3 linked regions of the Yarrowia lipolytica genome follow. The protein of the gene in region 2 interacts with the protein of the main gene of each other region in a biochemical or structural test. Links are inferred from orthologs where the notes say so. Each region holds a gene or a part of one and is shown on either strand. Other genes may lie near its edges. The genes, in order: YALI1_C12333g, YALI1_B13973g and YALI1_F01405g.

Region 1 (6,239 bases), on a different chromosome or scaffold from region 2:
CGGTTAGATTAGACAGCGACAATCTACCGACTGAGAACTATTCCGCAGATAAGAGGCGATCGGATCTTACAGAGAAAGAAAAGAGCGTAGGACGTTTTGAAGGGCCAAATAAGTCATGTGCGCGGAATCATTAGAATAATAATAATATTAAAAAAAGACAAGAAAGCATTCATTAAAATAATAAAATTAAAAAAAAAAAAATTACGTGAACAAGCGAACAACGAATGTCATTGCGCACTTCAGAACAACCCGAATCCAAATCCCGATTTTCCGGGTATAATAACATTGTCTAGCTGAATTAGCTGAAATGTATTTCCCTAGAATAAGAAAAAAAAAGTATTATTCACTAGATCCAATTTTCTTTTTTTTTAAAAAGCAAAATGTATTTCCCTACCATTGAAAAAACAAAAAATTTCCTAGAATAAATCGAAATTCCCTAGAATAGATAGAAATGCTCTAGAATAAATAGAAATGCTCTAGAATAAATAGAAATGAGCTAGAATAAATAGAAATGAGCTAGAATAAATAGAAATGAGCTAGAATAAATGAATAAATAAAATGATTGAACGCCAACAACCCAGCTTAAATCTGATATTTCTGTCATGAACATTACATTTAAAATTACTGAAATAACTGAATACGATGTACTTTGCACTTGTACTTTCGTTTTTACTGCTGTGCTAGGAGTACTACCTACATTCAAAGAATGTAGAGAAAGTAGTGTTGAAGGTAATACTCGGTTGTAATACCTGGCCAATTCCTCATATAATGATGAGAGGAACCATCCTGGTCGTAGTAGATAGGTTTATCCACTGATCTAGAATCTCTTTTTGGAGAAGAGCAAGCACAAACCAGAAGGGTGTGCGCTACTATCGGAACGTGGTGTCCCTAGAAGTGACTGTAAGTCGTTTATTCACTATATCTTCAATAAGTAGACACCAATATTAACAAGAATGTCACACCAAGGGACTGGTTTTTTTCTTCCATCAAGGTTTCTCTTTATCAACTGCCTTCTTTTGGGTCGTTCAGCGGTAACATTTTTGTTGAAGTTGACTCACTACTTTAGTAGCTTTCAGATGTAACCAATGACAAAAGCAGTGCGGAAGTGTTCAAACGTTCGAACACACACGGTTTGATTGCTTCTAACCCTTAACAAGCTGCCTAGTACATATAATTCACTACTGTATCTGTAATACAGTACAAACAGCACCTGTGAGGAACTCCAACATCAATACCGGCTAACTTACACTGCGTGAACGTATTGCAGCTGCTCGTAAAAAAACTCTTCAACTGATCTATTACCTCAAACATCTTCAAACATATCATTAAATAACATCTGTACATAGTCCCAGCAATTCAACATAGGACGTTGTCTGCTTCGTGCTTCGATTCTCTTATCGAGTTCTAATAATACCGGCGGCAACCAGCAACTGGACCTTCCGGGCAACCTCGGGATTCTTCATGTGGTCCTGCAGAGCGGCGGGGTTCTCCCGAGCCTGGTTGAGAATAGACGACATGATGGGGTCCTGCAGAATCTGCACGATTTCGGGATCCTTGGAAGCTCGCTCCATGGTCTCCTCGGGAGTCTCGCCCTCCTGGGCCTGGAATCGAGCAGACATGGCCTTGTACTGCAGAGCCTCAATCTCGGCCTTGGACTTGCCCTCCTTGTCGTGCTCAAGGGCTGCAGTGCAGGTGTCCACACACTTGGAGTACTCTCGCATGGCAAAGTAGGCGTTAGCCTTTCGGATGTAGGCTCGGATGAATGAGGGGTCCTTGGAAATGGCAGCATCACAGTCAACCACAGCCTCGGGGAAAGACATGAGCTTGGCAAGGGCAGCAGCTCGGTTGGAATAACCAATGGGGTTCTCGGGAGCTCGCTTGATCATCTCGGTGTAAGCCTTAACAGCGCCGGGCCAGTCGCCGGCAGCAAACTTCTCCTTACCTTCCTCTCGGGCCTCCTCGGCCTTGGCAGGATCAATGTAGGCTTGGGTCTCCTTGTTCTTAAGATCCTTCTCAGCGGCTCGCAGCTTGGAAAGAGTATCGGGGGTTCGGTGCTCGGTGAGAGCCCGGTTGTACAGCTCAATAGCCTTGGGCAAGTTATCGAGCTTGACATAGGCGGTGGCGCATCGCGAAAACGACTTGGCCAGCACTTTGTAGTCGGCAAACACCTCCCGGCCCTTGGTGATGGCCTCCTCGCAGGTCTTAATGCATGTCTCGTAGTCACCCTTCTCAAACTCGGCGGCGGCTCGGTTGTTGAGGTAGGTGATATCCTCGTGGATGGAGTAAGCCTTGTTGTAGTGAGCAATGGCCTCGTCGAACTTGTGGGCCTTGTAAGCGGTGTTTCCGAGAGCCTTCTCCTCATCGGCCTGCTTCTTCTCGTCGGACACAGGCTCGGCGGCGGGCTTAGATTCGGTCTTGGGGGCAGCCTTGGGGGCCTCGGCGGGCTTGGCCGGCTCAGAGTCCTTCATCTCAACGTCCTGCTGGGCGTCGTGGGCAGCCTTGTCCTCAGAAGCCTTGCCCTGCATGTCGGTGGGAATACCGAGCATCAGAGCCATAGCCTTCATGAGTCGGGGGTCCTGCTGCATGCCTGAGAGAGCAGCCATGGGGTTCTTCTGCAGTTCGCCGAGCTTCTTAACAAACTCAGGGTCCTTCATGTACTCCTTGACCTCGGGGTCGGAGGCCAGCTTGGCAAGATTGGCGGGGTTGGAGAACATGTCACCAAGACCCATATCGGGGGTAGTGCCGTCGCCCTGGGCCTCGGCCATGATGGCTCGCTCGACAGACTCCAGACCAGCCTTGTTCTGGGCGTTGGAGGGGTCCAGCTTGAGACCCTCCTCGTAGGCATCCTTGGCGCCAATCAGATCGCCCTTTCCGTGCAGGGCAGCACCCTTTCGACCGTAGCCCTTAGCCCACTGGGGGTTGATGTCAATACAAGACTGGGCGTCCTTGAGAGCATCGTCGAAGTTCTTCAGAGAAGAGTGACAGGCGGATCTGTTGGAGTAGAGCACGTGGTTAGGGGTGGGAGAGGCTTCAATGGCCTTGGTGAAGTGGTCAATGGCGGTAGGGAAGTCCTTAGCAGCAAAGGCTGCGTTTCCTTGAGCTTTGAGCTGTGTTAGTATGGAGCCAGGGGGAGAAAGCTGGGGGTCCGCGAATAACGGCAGAAGCAGACACAGTCAGATGTGAGTTTGAAACTGTGACGGGCAATGGGGGTAGTGGGACCCATTGATAGCAATCAAAGCGACATGGTTGGAGTGTCATAAGAAGGGAGTTCTAGTACTCCGTGTCCATCTCAAAAATATGTCAAGACAATCCAACACCAATTGTCACGTTTGCCATCATTGAACGGTCTTTGGACCATTACCATCACCACGTCACCACCGTACAATCATCATTGCACCACAGTGTCCCACAGTCAACAGTTCTGTAAAACCATTGATTATAGGGACAGCTAGATCATGGCCTCGTGACTGTGTCAAAGTCACTCAAAAACCCACCGAATCAGGTCCAAATCACCCCAATTGTGTCACCTTCTCTTCTGGGTCGCATTCTCATCCAGTGTCGCATTTCCCTTTCAATACTCACTTCGTCAGCAGACATTTTAAGTGTTCTTTCAGAGTCTCGGTATGGGGTCGAAAAAGGCAGCAGCCCTCTTATATCCCAACCTGCAAGACCCCAGCTGAATCTTCTAGAATCTTGTGGTGGTGTGGGACCCTAACCCTGACGCCTGAACTTTGCCAAACCGATACAAAATGAGTTCGCCACTATAATGGGGGAAGCCAAGTGTATTTTTCGGGTCACGTGAGTTATAAGAGACACTTTCCTTACAATAACAGCGATAGTGGCCATTTTCTACTCTTTCAGTAGACACTAAATCGACGGGTTGCCACTATTGAATAAGTTTTGAATCGGGCGTATGTCTGGAAAACTTTATTAATTGTTGAGCCGCACGGGAGGGAGATCTCAATATGGGGCGGTACAAGTATTATATGACGTAATTACGAGACTCAATGGTGGTAATATGGGATACATTTATTTTGATATGTTGTTTTATTGATTTTTCGAATTTTTTAAATTTCATTCGAATTTGTTTCGATTTTTTTTTATTTAAATTTATTGATTTTTTTGAACTGGGGAAAATCTTGGAAAAAAGGATACACCTTCTCAGCATCAACACCATCTGAAAGGATATCGATGATATGTTTAAAAAAAACAACCATATATACGTATTGTATTAGTTCAGGAGTCTCAGATTTTCAAAATATGACTACTTGCAGCTATACATCACCCCACTTATCATAGTCTCCATCTGAAATGGAACCCAGAGTTCCCCCTCTTGTCCTTTAGTTACATTACCGGACATTATCATCACGTGACGCAGGATGGGTTGAGTGAGAGAGGTGTGGTATTATATACCAAGATCTTTGGGGTTCGTGCTACGCACTATCTATGAGCCCTGTTTTCTGTTCAAGGCACGAGTGTGGATACCTTGATCTGTTGGGTTCAGCATAGTGGATAAATACTCGTAATTCATTACCTATACATTCTAAGTCTCAAGTGCCAGACTTGGGCTTTACTCGACAGTGGTTGATTGTAGCCTTTCGTACTGTACAGTTGGTGTCAGTGACACTGTAGTTGGCGGTGTTAGTTGTCTCTTATTTGGTCAGTTTCTCATTTGGTGTCGGTTGGTTTCCAGCCTGCTTTAGTCCATCGACTACACCGGGCTTCATCTCGGTCTGTCAGCTCGTCAATGAGTAGCACTGCTGATGAACCAATCCTCCAAACACCTGCTTGACCGCATCGGTATCGTTGAACTGTCTCTGACAAATGTGGCACATTTCAGCCGGCGAAACGGTCCCTTCGTCCTGACGATAGTAGTAGTACGGTCTAGCGAACCCGTCGCTGTGGGAGTAAGAAGGCAGGGTGTCCGAGTTGTAGGACCAGGTGGAAGGGTTGGTGGATTGAGAGCTGGTGGAAATGTAGGTAGTCAGAGGCTCCTTGTAGTACTTTGGCCTTGTTTGCTGGGGCTCTTGCACGGCTCGCCATTGCTGCACCATCTGGTTGGCTTCCAGGTCCCTTCTGGCTGACTGATTTCGCAGTCGTCGTTTCTGGACAAAGTGGCGAGTGAAGTAGACCGCTAGGAGCACCACCAGGAACACCACACACACAATGATGGCAACGTAGTAGTATCTTGGAGTCATGGAGACGGATGTTGATTCTCTTGGAAAAGGTGGACCAAAGATAGCCAGACCACACCTACATATATCTGGGCCATGACGGACCACGGAGCCCAAAGTGTAAAGACAAGGCTAAGGGAGAGAGCATAAAAGAGCGTTGGGAAAAAGTAAGTGTCGCTTGAGCCAAACACCTTGCTTGCAAGTCCAGTTGAAACAACTGTAGATGTAACAAGGTGCAGAGATCGTGGCTCTGGTCTGGTCCAACACAACGGTACTGTACCGTCACTTCACTACATATAAGACACGCGAGAGAAACCAAATGGAGTCTTTACCGGACGATAGGTTGCCAGCTGCTCACTTTTACAAAGCCAAGGTGATAGCACTTGCATTATTGCTGGCCCCAATGCGACCTCGAAACGGGGTTAACAGGATCCAGAATTAGATTGAACCTTGTGTGCTTGTCCTGGCAGAGAGATAGTCGGTTTTTGGGCTGTGCAAGGAAGCTGTGGCTGGTATATTTAGCGGTAGACGCGGTAAAAAAGTCCTGAACGGCGTCTACACGCGCCATATTACCGCTCTAGACCCCGCTATGGCCTCCACTACCCACAACTGTCTCCATCCACCTGCCATTCCAAACCACCCCTTGAACTCACTTCCCAGAGAAGGGATGTCAATAACGTGTAGCAGCAGCACGTAGGTTGTAACAGGGCAGGGTTGGCACGAGGCAGGGGAGGTCTTGGACGGTACCGCATCAGGAGAAGCAAAATTATGTATCGTAATTCCTGTTGAACTCGTCCTGTTTGACAGACTCCTAATGTCATTTTTACTTGTACGACATTGTCACCTTGTGTTTCATCTTGTAACAGAAATAATTATATAAGCGCAGTCGCACCCTCCACCCTTCACCTTCACCTTCACCCTTCACCCTTCGTACCTTCTGCGACAGGGCTTGCAGACAACTGGTGTGACTTGGAATAACGCACTGTGGCCCCCTTACTCTCACCATGCACACAGCACCCAGCCTGACAGCCTTCCCCACAGGTGTCCCCCAAACCCAAAGACACA
Region 2 (5,723 bases):
AGGGATATAAATTATCTGCAAAAGCCGTGTATGGGAATTGGTTCAATGGACCCAATTGCTGGGCTTTTAATTGTCTACAATTGTCTCTTCTTAGTCGGATTGCCCACTGACTCTCCACTTAACTCGTCATCCTCTGGCGCACCTACTCCACGTCATGCATCCAAACAATCTGCAGCTGGAATTATAGTATTTCACCTCAAACCGATGTTATCTCCGAGAAGATGGGGGCGTGTGTTTGGGGGTCAACGGCCGCGCAATGGGCGGATTTTAAGCCGCCAATATGCAATTACGCCATCCATCTCTCTTGTTCCGTCTTTTTGTTGTCTCCACAGCTCTTATTTGTCCACCTATCTAGACATGACTAATGCCGCGGTCCCCACATGAAAATTAGTACAGCCCTTTTTCTTATAGACCGAAAGCCAAAATGGACGGTAAAAACAATCTTCGCTGAAAGTAGCCTTAGCTGGGGTAAACCGAGGATGGTGACTGTGGCTCCGAATGCAGTCAGCCTTTCCCAGGCAAAAGACGATATATGTGCCGATACCCCGCGTTTGCACCGGCTGCAGCAGCTTTCGGAGCTCGTACGCGGGCTTCGGGTCTTATAAAGACAAACCACCGACACCTCTCCGAGCTCAACAGATCAACGTCCGACCTTTCGGGACTTTCCGGGGTGCAGAAAACAATACGGGGAGGTCCCGGTACCTGGCAATGTACATACACAGGTAAGTACTGAATAAGCTGGTGTATAAGCGTGGTATATTGTTGGACATGCCGCTACAGCGGGCATGTCACTATCAAATTGCATGCCTCGGTATATAACTGGGACCCAGCGTCTGTATCACGGCCGTTACTGCAGATCTCTTCATTCTGCACAAGCTTTCGGTTCCCCAGAGTTCCATGTGAATTTTCAGAGTTTAACGTGCCCGCAGTTGCTGTGCCAAACACTGTCAATTACCGGGCGACTGATAGGGTCCCGTGCTGAAAAGGAAAAACTGGTTAGTGAGCGTCGTAATCAACGTGCTAAAATCCCCAGCTGCCAACGTCATCGTGATTGTTTAGGATTTAGTCTCCAACCTGGAACTCGTTGGTCCAGTGACCCCAGGCACAGCACGGTAGCTTGTAACTATGGTGGTGACCATTGCTTCATGTGCTCTACTCAAAGTGCGGGAAATGGACGAGGCAATGAAGAGGGCATTGGACACCTATAATGGACGTTTGGAGAGGCAAAAAATAGCCACTAGTGCTTGGAATTACAAGTATCTGGTAGTCGGAATAGATTTATGGAAAAATCTCGGTCAAATTATTGTGGAAATACCCTTTTACCAGTACCATGTCTGATGCTCGCGATTCGGTATGGTAATTTACGGGGTTAACCTCAAACACCAAACCGTATAACCATGATGAAGATAAGAGGTGGGTGATTGTAGAGTACCTATACAGGACTAAGAAAGGACGCTCAAACGCCCATTTTATGTACCTTTTTTGAACAAAATGTGCTGGATTTCATCCACATATCAAGCCATCTATCATTCCCATATTATGTCTCACGCTGTCTCGTATTCGTCCGTTCCACCGGGGCGGTTACAGGTGTGTAAATTATTACTGGCAGTCCGTTTAGCCGAGCACTGTATGCAGAAAGTCAGGCACAGCACACACTGACATTTCCACCTTGGTGAGCGAGCGTTTGAAACTCACGTGATCTTCACGTGACCACTATCTTGTCTTCTTTTCTTTTCTTTTCCGGGGACGCATTCAGCCGGCCAACGGTGAAGATCTAGAACTGTAGTGGTTTCGGGGTACGGCAAATCGCTCATTGGAAGGAGGCAGGTACAGCGCCAGGACGAGCGTGGTGAAGGCCAATTGAGCGCTCATGTGTAGCGGATTGAGCAGTTCACAACGTGAAAGTCACATGACCTACTCGCCACAGGTGTACGTTCATCTTGGTCAGCCATATACAATGCACTATGACGTCTTGGTTTGCCATGAACCCGGCGCCGGATCATTTGACTTAGACTCGCTAATAGCTTGTAATACTTAACGGGTCATGTGACGTAGTAGTGCGAATTTTAGGGTGTCTCTAAGTTGGTGGGAAATCAACATATTGGAGGCGTGAAAAAGAGAATCGAATCTGCAGGCTCAGCTTTATACTATCAGCCCCCAATGTGGCCTCTTTTATATCCAATATCGGTTCCAAGCAATGGCCATCTGCCATGTTCTAAAGTTTTCCATCTTTCAACTGGGTGAATTTTAGACCAAACAGAGTTTCAAGACCAGTACAACTTTTAGAGCTTTTTGCCTTGCGTACAATTGGAAGAAGCTCTCTCTTTTGACAACAGCAAACACAGTCTTGTTCTACTGTACCAACACAGCACAACTGAGAGAAAAAATGAGTGAAAGCAGCTGGAACCGACTGGTCTCGTGGGCCGCTGACAACCGAAAGACCATTCTTGTGGCGTCTGCCATTGCTGCCGTTGCCACCGCTGGATCCTTCTATGTGGTTTCCCAGCAGCAAATGAGCCCCAAGAAGGACTCGTCTTCCAAGAACAAGAAAAAGAAGAAGGCTAAGAAGGCCAAGAAGGATGCCTCTTCTACCGAGGAGTCTTCCGCCAAGAAGGCTGATCTGCCCGAAAAGTCCATTGCCGGCATTCCTCTGACCCGATCCGAGCCTCAGTACCCCGATGTCCAGGACTGGGAGAAGGTGAAGGAGCTGTCCGAATCCGAGCGAAAGGAGCTCGCTAACTCGTTCAAGGCCGCCGGAAACGCCCTGTACGCCAAGAAGGAGCACACCAAGGCCGCCGAGCTCTACACCAAGGCTCTGGACTGCTACATTGACCCCATCTTCTACTCCAACCGATCCGCCTGCTACTTTGCCCTGGAGGACTACCAGAAGGTCGTGGACGACACAACTGCCGCCATCAAGCTGCGACCCGACTACTTCAAGTGTTTCCGACGACGAGGAACCGCCCAGGAGAAGCTCGAGAATTACTACGACGCAGCTGTCGACATCACCGCCTCTTGCGTGCTCGAGAACTTTGGCGACACCTCCATGAACGACATGGTCGACCGACTGATGCGACTCAACGCTGCCCAGGTGGCCCAGGAGGAGTACAAGGACCGACCCAAGGTACTGCCCTCCCAGCAGTTTGTCAAGACCTACCTTGGCTCTTTCCGACCCCGAAAGATGCCCAAGGACCTCAAGAAGGACACTGACCACGAGGCCGAGCAGGAGCTGGTTCTTGCCCTCGATCTGATTGAGAAGGGCACTTACGACTCGTACACAAAGGCCCTCGAGCACCTCGACAAGGCCATTGCCGGCACCGATCTGCAGAACCTTTTCCCCACCCTAAAGGCTCTGGCTCTCGAGTACCGAGCCATCTTCAACTTCCTTATGAACAAGATTGACGAGGCCAAGGCCGATATTGACCTGTCTCTGCAGCTGTCTGCCACTGTTCAAGCCTACATCACTCGATCCTCCATCCACCTCGACACCGGAGATAAGGCTGCCTCCCAGAAGGACATTGAGCTTGCCCTGGCTCTCAACGCTGAGGACCCCGACTGCTACCACCACCAGGGCCAGCTGTACTTCCTGTCCGAGGAGTTTGACAAGGCCATTGAGTGTTACAACAAGTCTCTGGAGCTGGACGACACTTTTGTGCCGTCGCTCATCTTCAAGGCCAACTCCCACCTTAAGAAGGGTGAGCGAGTGGGCCAGTCCAACCCCATCGAGACCCGACACCTCGTCGACGCCTGCTTCGAGGTCTTCGAGGAGGGTGCTAAGAAGTTCCCCAAGAACGCTGATCTGTGGAACTACTACGCCGAGGCTCTTCTGTCTACCCAAAAGTACTCCGAGTCGCTGCGATACCTCGACAAGGCCATTGCTCTCGAGAAGGAGCAGAACCCCACCTCCATGAGCGTGCTGCCTCTGGTCTCCAAGGCTCTGGTTATCTTCCAGACTCAGAAGGACTTCGACACCTCCGTCGACCTCTGTAAGCAGGCTCTCGTGATCGACGATCGATCCGAAGTTGCCATCGGAACCCTGGCCCAGCTGTACCTGTCTGCCGGCAAGCACGACGAGGCCATGAAGATGTTCAAGAAAAACGCCGAGTACGCTCGAAGCGAGGAGGAGCTGGTGCAGAACCTCGTCTTCCTGGTGGCCTCCAAGATCCAGACCACCCTGCAGACCGATCTCCCCGTGGTCTACAAGAAGCTCAAGGAGATTACTCCCCCTCAGGCTTAGACAAAGTGTATATAGCAAAGATGGGTCGAATGGCCTGTCTAATACGAGTATGACTATTGGAACAAAAGAGTGAGCGTAGGTAGTCAAAACTGTGTCACGGTGGCTACAGTATTTGTACTGACAATCAAATGTGTAATACAAGTGATGGGGATATCGTAATACTGTAACAGCGTGGTCTCTGGCGCGACTTGTTTAGTGGGTCAACTCCTAATCATCAAAAATGTCACGAGAATTGTATCTCACTTACACAGACTTGCAGTATGTGCAGTACTGTCGTGTCACACACTACATACGCCGTATATGTTAGTCATAAATTATTGAATATGTAGCTGCCAGTACTTGATTAATAGTTAAATCGGTCGAGTGGAGGCCTCCACGAACTTCTTGAACATTTTGGTGGTGTTCTGATTGAATTTCTTTTTATCAAAGTCAGCCATAATGGCCTTGGAGAACTTGGACGGTTCTTTTTTCTTCTTGCCCGGCATGGGGGTGGCTGGAGATTCGGGTTTACCTTTGTCTTTGGGTTCCTTTTCCTTCTCCGGAGGCAAGGGAGTCAGGGAAACGGCCAGAATGGTGTCTCGTTTGATGAGCTTGTCCCAGAACTGGCCCATGATGAAATAGTTGTTTGTTTCATCAAATACTTGGAAGCACTCCTTTTGCCAATGTTTGGCCTTGTACGGGAAAGTCAAGATCATGAGATTCTTGAACTCCTTGAACGTCTTGATACTGTCGACGGGGATCTTGTAGCCATAGTCCTTTTCTTCTTCGGCACCGTGAATGATGACGGTGAGGAAAGCAGGCGTGTTGGCAACAGGAGGTGCAACGGGAGTAGCTGCCTTCCTTTCAGCCTCTTCCCTGGCCTTTTTTTGTTTGATCGTCTCGTCTTTGATCTCCTTTTCAATCCTAATGGCCTCTTCGTATCCCTTGACAATAGCGTCTCCAACGACAGCAGGAACATCGTGGTCTCGCATCATCTGAAATAGATCCTGGTAGTACTGGGCAGCCAGGGACTCAAATGCTGGCTCTGTCTCCACGGGAATGTCAGAAGCAGCAGGTTCGTCTGCTTTCTTGGCCCAAGGAAAGTACTCCCCCCATCCTGCTGGTTTGGGCGTTCCAGGTGTTTCAGGCTTCTTTGGTGGAACCAAACGAATGCCTCGCTCGCCAAGAAGAGCTGCCTGCTTGACCTTTTGGTTGCGGAGCTCCACCTTGGCCTGTACACGTCGCAGAAATTCCGCCTCGTACTTTCGCTGAGCTGTGTCTGTGGACTCAGAAGAAGCAGCCGAACTGACTGTAGTGGGAGCAGAGGAGTTGACAGAGGTGGATCTAGATGAGCGGCTCGTGCGCTCCTGCTGCTGAGCCTTCTTCAATGCCACGCTCTCTTCCAACACAGAAATGAGCTTCCCCACCGCCGGACTTTCGTACAGCTCGATATCTGTCTGCGACAAGGAGCTAGGGCGGAGAGAGGGGGTGGTAGAGGCTCGCCTGG
Region 3 (5,535 bases), on a different chromosome or scaffold from region 2:
CAAGCTGCTTCTGGACAAGGAGCTCGCTGACAAGAAGCGCAAGGCTGAGATCAAGAAGAACGCGCGGCTGGTGCGATCCTATGACGTCAAGGAGTCCGAGTACGCGATGGACGAGGAGCAGCTTCAAGCCCAGATCATGAAGCACGTCAACTCCAAGCGGGGCTCCCATATGCTCAAGTCCAAGCAGCTTGCTGAGCTCACGGGTCGTCTGCCCAAGCCTAAGGTGAAGCACAAGACGTATCCCAACTATGTCGAGCCTGAGGAGGAGGAAACTGAGTCTGAGGGAGAGGATGAGTTTGAGCGGTACAAGGGTCAGCCTGGCTTGACTCCTGGTCTGGCTCCTGTGGATTACGAGTCGAGTGACGAGGAGGAGGTGGATGAGTGAACTTTGCGAACGAGCGAACCCATCTGACAGCCTGAAGGTCGTGCTCAACATTCCTCGCCGTGACAGTTGTACGGATCAAACGACCCGTTATTGAGTGGGCTGTTGCAGAGATATCTGCAACATTACTGGACGATTGGCAAATCATTCACAGCTGCATCACTATGGCAGACGACAACAGCATGGATTTATTGCATTAATTTATTGTTATTAGAAGTGAAGTACTGTACTGTACTGTACTTGTAGCTCGTACTTGACAAACAGAGGTCTACTCTCTCGAAGGTGGTTATTTGGTGTTCTGGTAGCTAAACCCCTTCAGGGTACATTAGTCCAAACTAATATAGGTAATGTTGAGTCCTACATTTTGGTCAATCCAGGTATATCGAAATATATTAATATATATTCGGCTACATTTTTTTCTCAAAGATCCTCCTTGGATCTCGAACGACGCTGGGATCTGTATTGAACCTCAAGCTGGCATTTTCTCTAACTAACTTCCAAGTAAATGATCCGACAGAGGTAAGAAAAGCGTACATTCATTTCAAAGGTTATTCTTTCACAGCAAAGTTATAATTAAATGAATGTATATGCAGGAAAAAAAAAAAAAAAAAGTAACGGAAGGACAATGGTAAGCCAGCTATAGCAATCTGCTGATCAGATTTCTGCAGTTCTTTTCAATCAATCAACCAAGTCATCCAATGAATCTAATGGACTTGAGTGGTTCAAAATAAATCTCTTATCCAGCAGATCAAGATGTCTCCATCCAGTCCCAGTAACATACTACTACAAGTAGGAGTTCCGATGTGAGCACCATCACACGAGGCTTCAAAAGCTGTTTCAAGAGGTATTTCGGACGCTGAAATTCATTTATTCAGCCCGGCCACCTTCTTAAAGCTTCTAACTGCTCCAAAATCGTTATCGATTCAATACCAACGAAGTTGCAATCCTTCACCGTTGGTTGTTTTGCTACTTGAATCTTTAGTTGACTCCCCTTCTACTTGTCGGTAATTTTTAAGCCCATCTACACATCACTCTTTCTCAGCTCCTAGAACACCCTAGAACTTATCTCGTGGACCCCAAACCGGTCCCCACTGACCACGAAACTTCCATGCTGCTTCGATTGCGTATACCTTGCTATCTGAGGCACCAACCCACGCCCCAGCACGTCGTTTTTACTCGTGCCCAGCGTGCAATTAGATTGTGCATCAGTGATTAACTCGAGACAATTGGGATCCGAGATGAGGCGGTTGAAGGGATGAATAAATATCACGCAAAAAGAATCAAAATATACTGCCCATGGCACACGTATATTTATCACTATTTTTGCGTGATATTTAATTGTGTCCCCACCATCGCCCTTCCTCGATGCGATCCCGCTCCCGTACCTGTAAATTATAACTCGCGATTACGTCACTAAGTTGAGCTCATCGAACATTGGGGAAACTGGAAGAAGGTCTTGGAACAAGAGCTCGCACAACTGAACACTTTATGCACGACGTCAGAGACCCCAAAACGGCCGCAAAATGGAGCCAGAGACCCGATTTCGCGTGGCAAAAATACACAGCAAAAAACCACTCCCACGCCACCCCACCAACGCCCTTCTTTCTCCACTGGCACGGGACTGAGCAGGCAGTGTCTGGATCTTTCTACACCCTTCTTTGTGAACCTTATTCGCGTTAAACACTCCCAGTACTCTTTGTGCCCTCTAACTTTCAGGCCCATCCTCAAATTTTTTGGCAGTGTATATACAAGCCAATCTACGAGAAGTTGAGGCCTCCTGGAAAAATTAGACCTAGACTCTCACAACAACACAAACACACGACACAGACAAAATGGTCAAGGAATCAAAACTCTACGACGTTCTCGGTGAGTATGAGAAGAGAAGAGAAGAGGAGAGTGAATGGACGGAGCGGTTGAGATGAAGCTGAATAGTATGAAGACCACACACAGACTTGTGATCAGAGTCTTATCATATCAAGGATCAGAAGCGAAGCGAAACTGTGGTGATGTTGAGTGGGAGGGATTGGCAATGTGACAATGTGACAATGTGGCAGTATGAATATGAACACAGTGCAATCTGAGGATGGTTCTGTGTTTGTGTACATGACTGGCTGTTCATCTGGATTTGTCACACTGGTTAGTAGCAATGTTGCGGCTCTCTCATTACCATCCTGCGATTGCCATGACCAAACCACACAACCTGGTATTACCAGACACGCTACGTGCTCCCACATCTCTCCTGTCTCTCGCTCAGTCGTGCCACGCACCCCGAAGTGCTTTACTAACCCAGGCGTCAGCGTAACCGCCACCGAAGTGGAAATCAAAAAGGCATACCGAGTTGGTGCTCTCAAATACCACCCCGATAAGAACCCCGGCAACGTCGAGGCCGAGGCCAAGTTCAAGGAAATCTCCATGGCCTACGAGGTTCTGTCAAACGACCAGAAGAGAGCTGCATACGACAACTTTGGAGAGGCTGGCCTCGGCGGAGGAGCCGACGGAGGAATGGGCGGCGGATCTGCTGAGGAGCTGTTTTCGCATTTCTTTGGCGGCGGCGGTGGCATGGGCGGCATGGGCGGCATGTTCGGCGGCGGCCAGCCCCAGGGCCCCCGACGATCCCGTGACATTGTTCACGCCGTGTCCGTGACCCTCGAGGACCTGTTCCGAGGAAAGACCTCCAAGATGGCTCTCAAGAAGACCGTGCTCTGTAACGGCTGTGACGGTATCGGAGGCAAGGCCGGCTCCGTCAACAAGTGTGAGACCTGTAAGGGTCAGGGATTCAAGTTTGTCACCCGACAAATGGGCCCCATGCTGCAGCGATACCAGACCAAGTGTAACGACTGTAACGGCGAGGGCGAGATCATCGACCCCAAGGATCGATGCAAGGACTGTAACGGAAGAAAGACCAAGGAGGAGCGAAAGGTGCTCGAGGTCAACATTGATAAGGGTATGGTCAACGGACAGAAGATCACCTTCTCTGGTGAGGGTGACCAGGGTCCTGATATTATTCCTGGTGACGTTGTCTTTGTGCTGGATGAGCAGCCCCACGCCCGATTTGTCCGACGAGGCGACGATCTGTACTACCACGCCAAGATTGATCTCAACACTGCCCTTACCGGTGGCTCTTTCATGATTGAGCATCTTGAGAAGGAGGAGTGGATCAAGGTGGAGATCATCCCCGGCGAGATCATTTCGCATGGCACCACCAAGGTCGTGGAGGGCAAGGGTATGCCCTCCTACCGACACCAGGTTCACGGCAACCTGTTCATTCAGTTTGAGGTCGAGTTCCCCGCATCTGGCTCTCTCAACGAGGAGACTCTGCAACAGCTGTCTGCTCTTCTGCCTGCCAAGCCTGCTCTTCCCAGTGTGCCCGAGAGTGTCCATGTTGACGATGTTGTTCTGGCTGACGTGGATCCTCTCAAGCACCGAGGAGCTATGGGCGGCGATGATGAGATGGACATGGATGAGGATGGACCTGGAGGAGCCCAGGGTGTCCAGTGTGCTTCTCAGTAAGAGATTAAGTACGGTTATATAGAAACTCTATTTATGTTGCAACCTTGGAGGTGACAAGATAGTAGGTAGATAGAGGTTAGAATGGATTGATGATATGAGAAGAGAGCCTGAGGATCTAGTCCGCTGAGGATCTAGTCCGAATGAGAACAGTAGTGTAGAAGGAGATGTGAGTATAATTGTTTGTAGTTCGGCTGTCTCCACGGATATATGAGTACAGGATGTACAGCACAGTACATATGTTGGTGACAATGTAGGTGTGTGTACATGTTCGCGCAAAGCTATGAGGATCCCACTGATATCTCCGAACACATGCCATATTGAAGTTAAGAGGTACATTCGATCGTATTTATTTGCTTTTTGATCTGGTTCCTGAACTACTGTAACATGACTGTCTAGGCTCGAGAGCACTTCTTGTACATGTAGTGTTCGAAGCAGAGAAGGGTGGTGCTATTGATTCCAGGGTAGTTTTTGGTTGTTTGTGCCACTATGTGATAGCTGTTTTGGTATACTTGTACAGTAGCTACTTGGTTTAGATGAGTAAGCGTACGTAGTTATTGAACAGTATAGTGTTCTTAGTAGCTAACACCCATATATAGATATATTGACCCAATTGGATCATGATAAATGAGTTGTCTGTACAGTACTTGTACAAACCGGTATTATGAATAATGGCGGACCTTGTCGTATCTTTTTCTATTTGGATTGATAGGAGCAACATTCAAGCGTCTTGTTCTTGGGCGTTGGCTGTGTTTGGACACATACCAACATCCCCCTTTTTTCCGCCATTATTTGTCTATGTTAATAAATCACTAGAGAAAAAAGACGATGGGGAATCCAACGGTAGTATTTAATCACAGGAGGGCTAGTGAATGAGACTAGTTGATGGGTTCTTAGAGGGGGTTTAAGGTGGTGAATCAGTCGTAACGTTCCTGCGTTACAATAAATGGTACAGTAGCGTGTCTGATGGTGAGTCTAGAGTTCCGAGTACATGACCGAATGAAACGGGAGTTGCGGCTAACAGATATTCACAGAATCCTTGAATGATTAATTGACTTATTTTCCTCATGTCATGTTTTCCTCATGTCAAGTTTTCCTCATGTGGGTATGTTTTCCTCATGTTATATCCTCTGGATGTCCAGTAGGGGCTTTGCTGTTTGACTGAATGGATGGATACTGGGGCAGTAGTCCTGTTACAACTACAGTACTGGTTGCAAATACTCATCTACTGTTGACATGAGTAGTACATACTGTGACACCCAGTACAGACTACAAGTACTTATAGCATGTTATTTCGGGCTCCCCTAAGATGTCGGTTCTTGTCGTTCAGCAACTGAGACACCAACGGTAGATAATCGAATGACCCCGCTGATTACTACTTGTAGTGGGAATGGGCAAGCTGGTGACGCTCCTTTTTACCGCTCTCAAAGGCTCAACACACTCTCGTACTCGTATCTACACATACCAGTACATTGTTCGATTGACATCCAAAGATGAAACATTGACCCCACCATACAAGATTGTCCATTTCTCACAAGTTTTCGGCTCCATCTCTCACACCCACAGTTTACATCTGTGGCTTCTCTTCAAACAAGCTACCTGTACTTGTAGATGATTAGGTTGGCTTGGCTCTCCATTTGAATCCG

What was found.
Region 1: the proteins of YALI1_B13973g (region 2) and YALI1_C12333g form a complex in vitro, tested with the Saccharomyces cerevisiae proteins (2 studies listed by BioGRID). The link is inferred for Yarrowia lipolytica from reciprocal best matches to the Saccharomyces cerevisiae genes TOM70 and STI1.
Region 3: the proteins of YALI1_B13973g (region 2) and YALI1_F01405g form a complex in vitro, tested with the Saccharomyces cerevisiae proteins (2 studies listed by BioGRID). The link is inferred for Yarrowia lipolytica from reciprocal best matches to the Saccharomyces cerevisiae genes TOM70 and YDJ1.

The regions. Positions count from the first base shown.
Region 1 is NC_090772.1:1,230,672-1,236,910, reverse strand, and holds YALI1_C12333g (uncharacterized protein), read right to left. Parts: upstream 3,598-6,239; coding exon 3,583-3,597; intron 3,108-3,582; coding exon 1,395-3,107; downstream 1-1,394. Other genes in the region: YALI1_C12317g (uncharacterized protein), read right to left, coding at 4,737-5,198. UniProt on the Saccharomyces cerevisiae protein: May play a role in mediating the heat shock response of some HSP70 genes. It is required for optimal growth of yeast cells at both low and high temperature.
Region 2 is NC_090771.1:1,394,939-1,400,661, forward strand, and holds YALI1_B13973g (uncharacterized protein), read left to right. Parts: upstream 1-2,386; coding exon 2,387-4,237; downstream 4,238-5,723. Other genes in the region: YALI1_B14013g (uncharacterized protein), read right to left, coding at 4,588-5,723. UniProt on the Saccharomyces cerevisiae protein: Component of the TOM (translocase of outer membrane) receptor complex responsible for the recognition and translocation of cytosolically synthesized mitochondrial preproteins.
Region 3 is NC_090775.1:137,403-142,937, reverse strand, and holds YALI1_F01405g (uncharacterized protein), read left to right. Parts: upstream 1-2,437; coding exon 2,438-3,892; downstream 3,893-5,535. Other genes in the region: YALI1_F01430g (uncharacterized protein), read left to right, coding at 1-385. UniProt on the Saccharomyces cerevisiae protein: Probably involved in mitochondrial protein import. Is also required for efficient translocation of pre-pro-alpha-factor. Involved in heme regulation of HAP1, as a component of the high-molecular-weight (HMC) complex.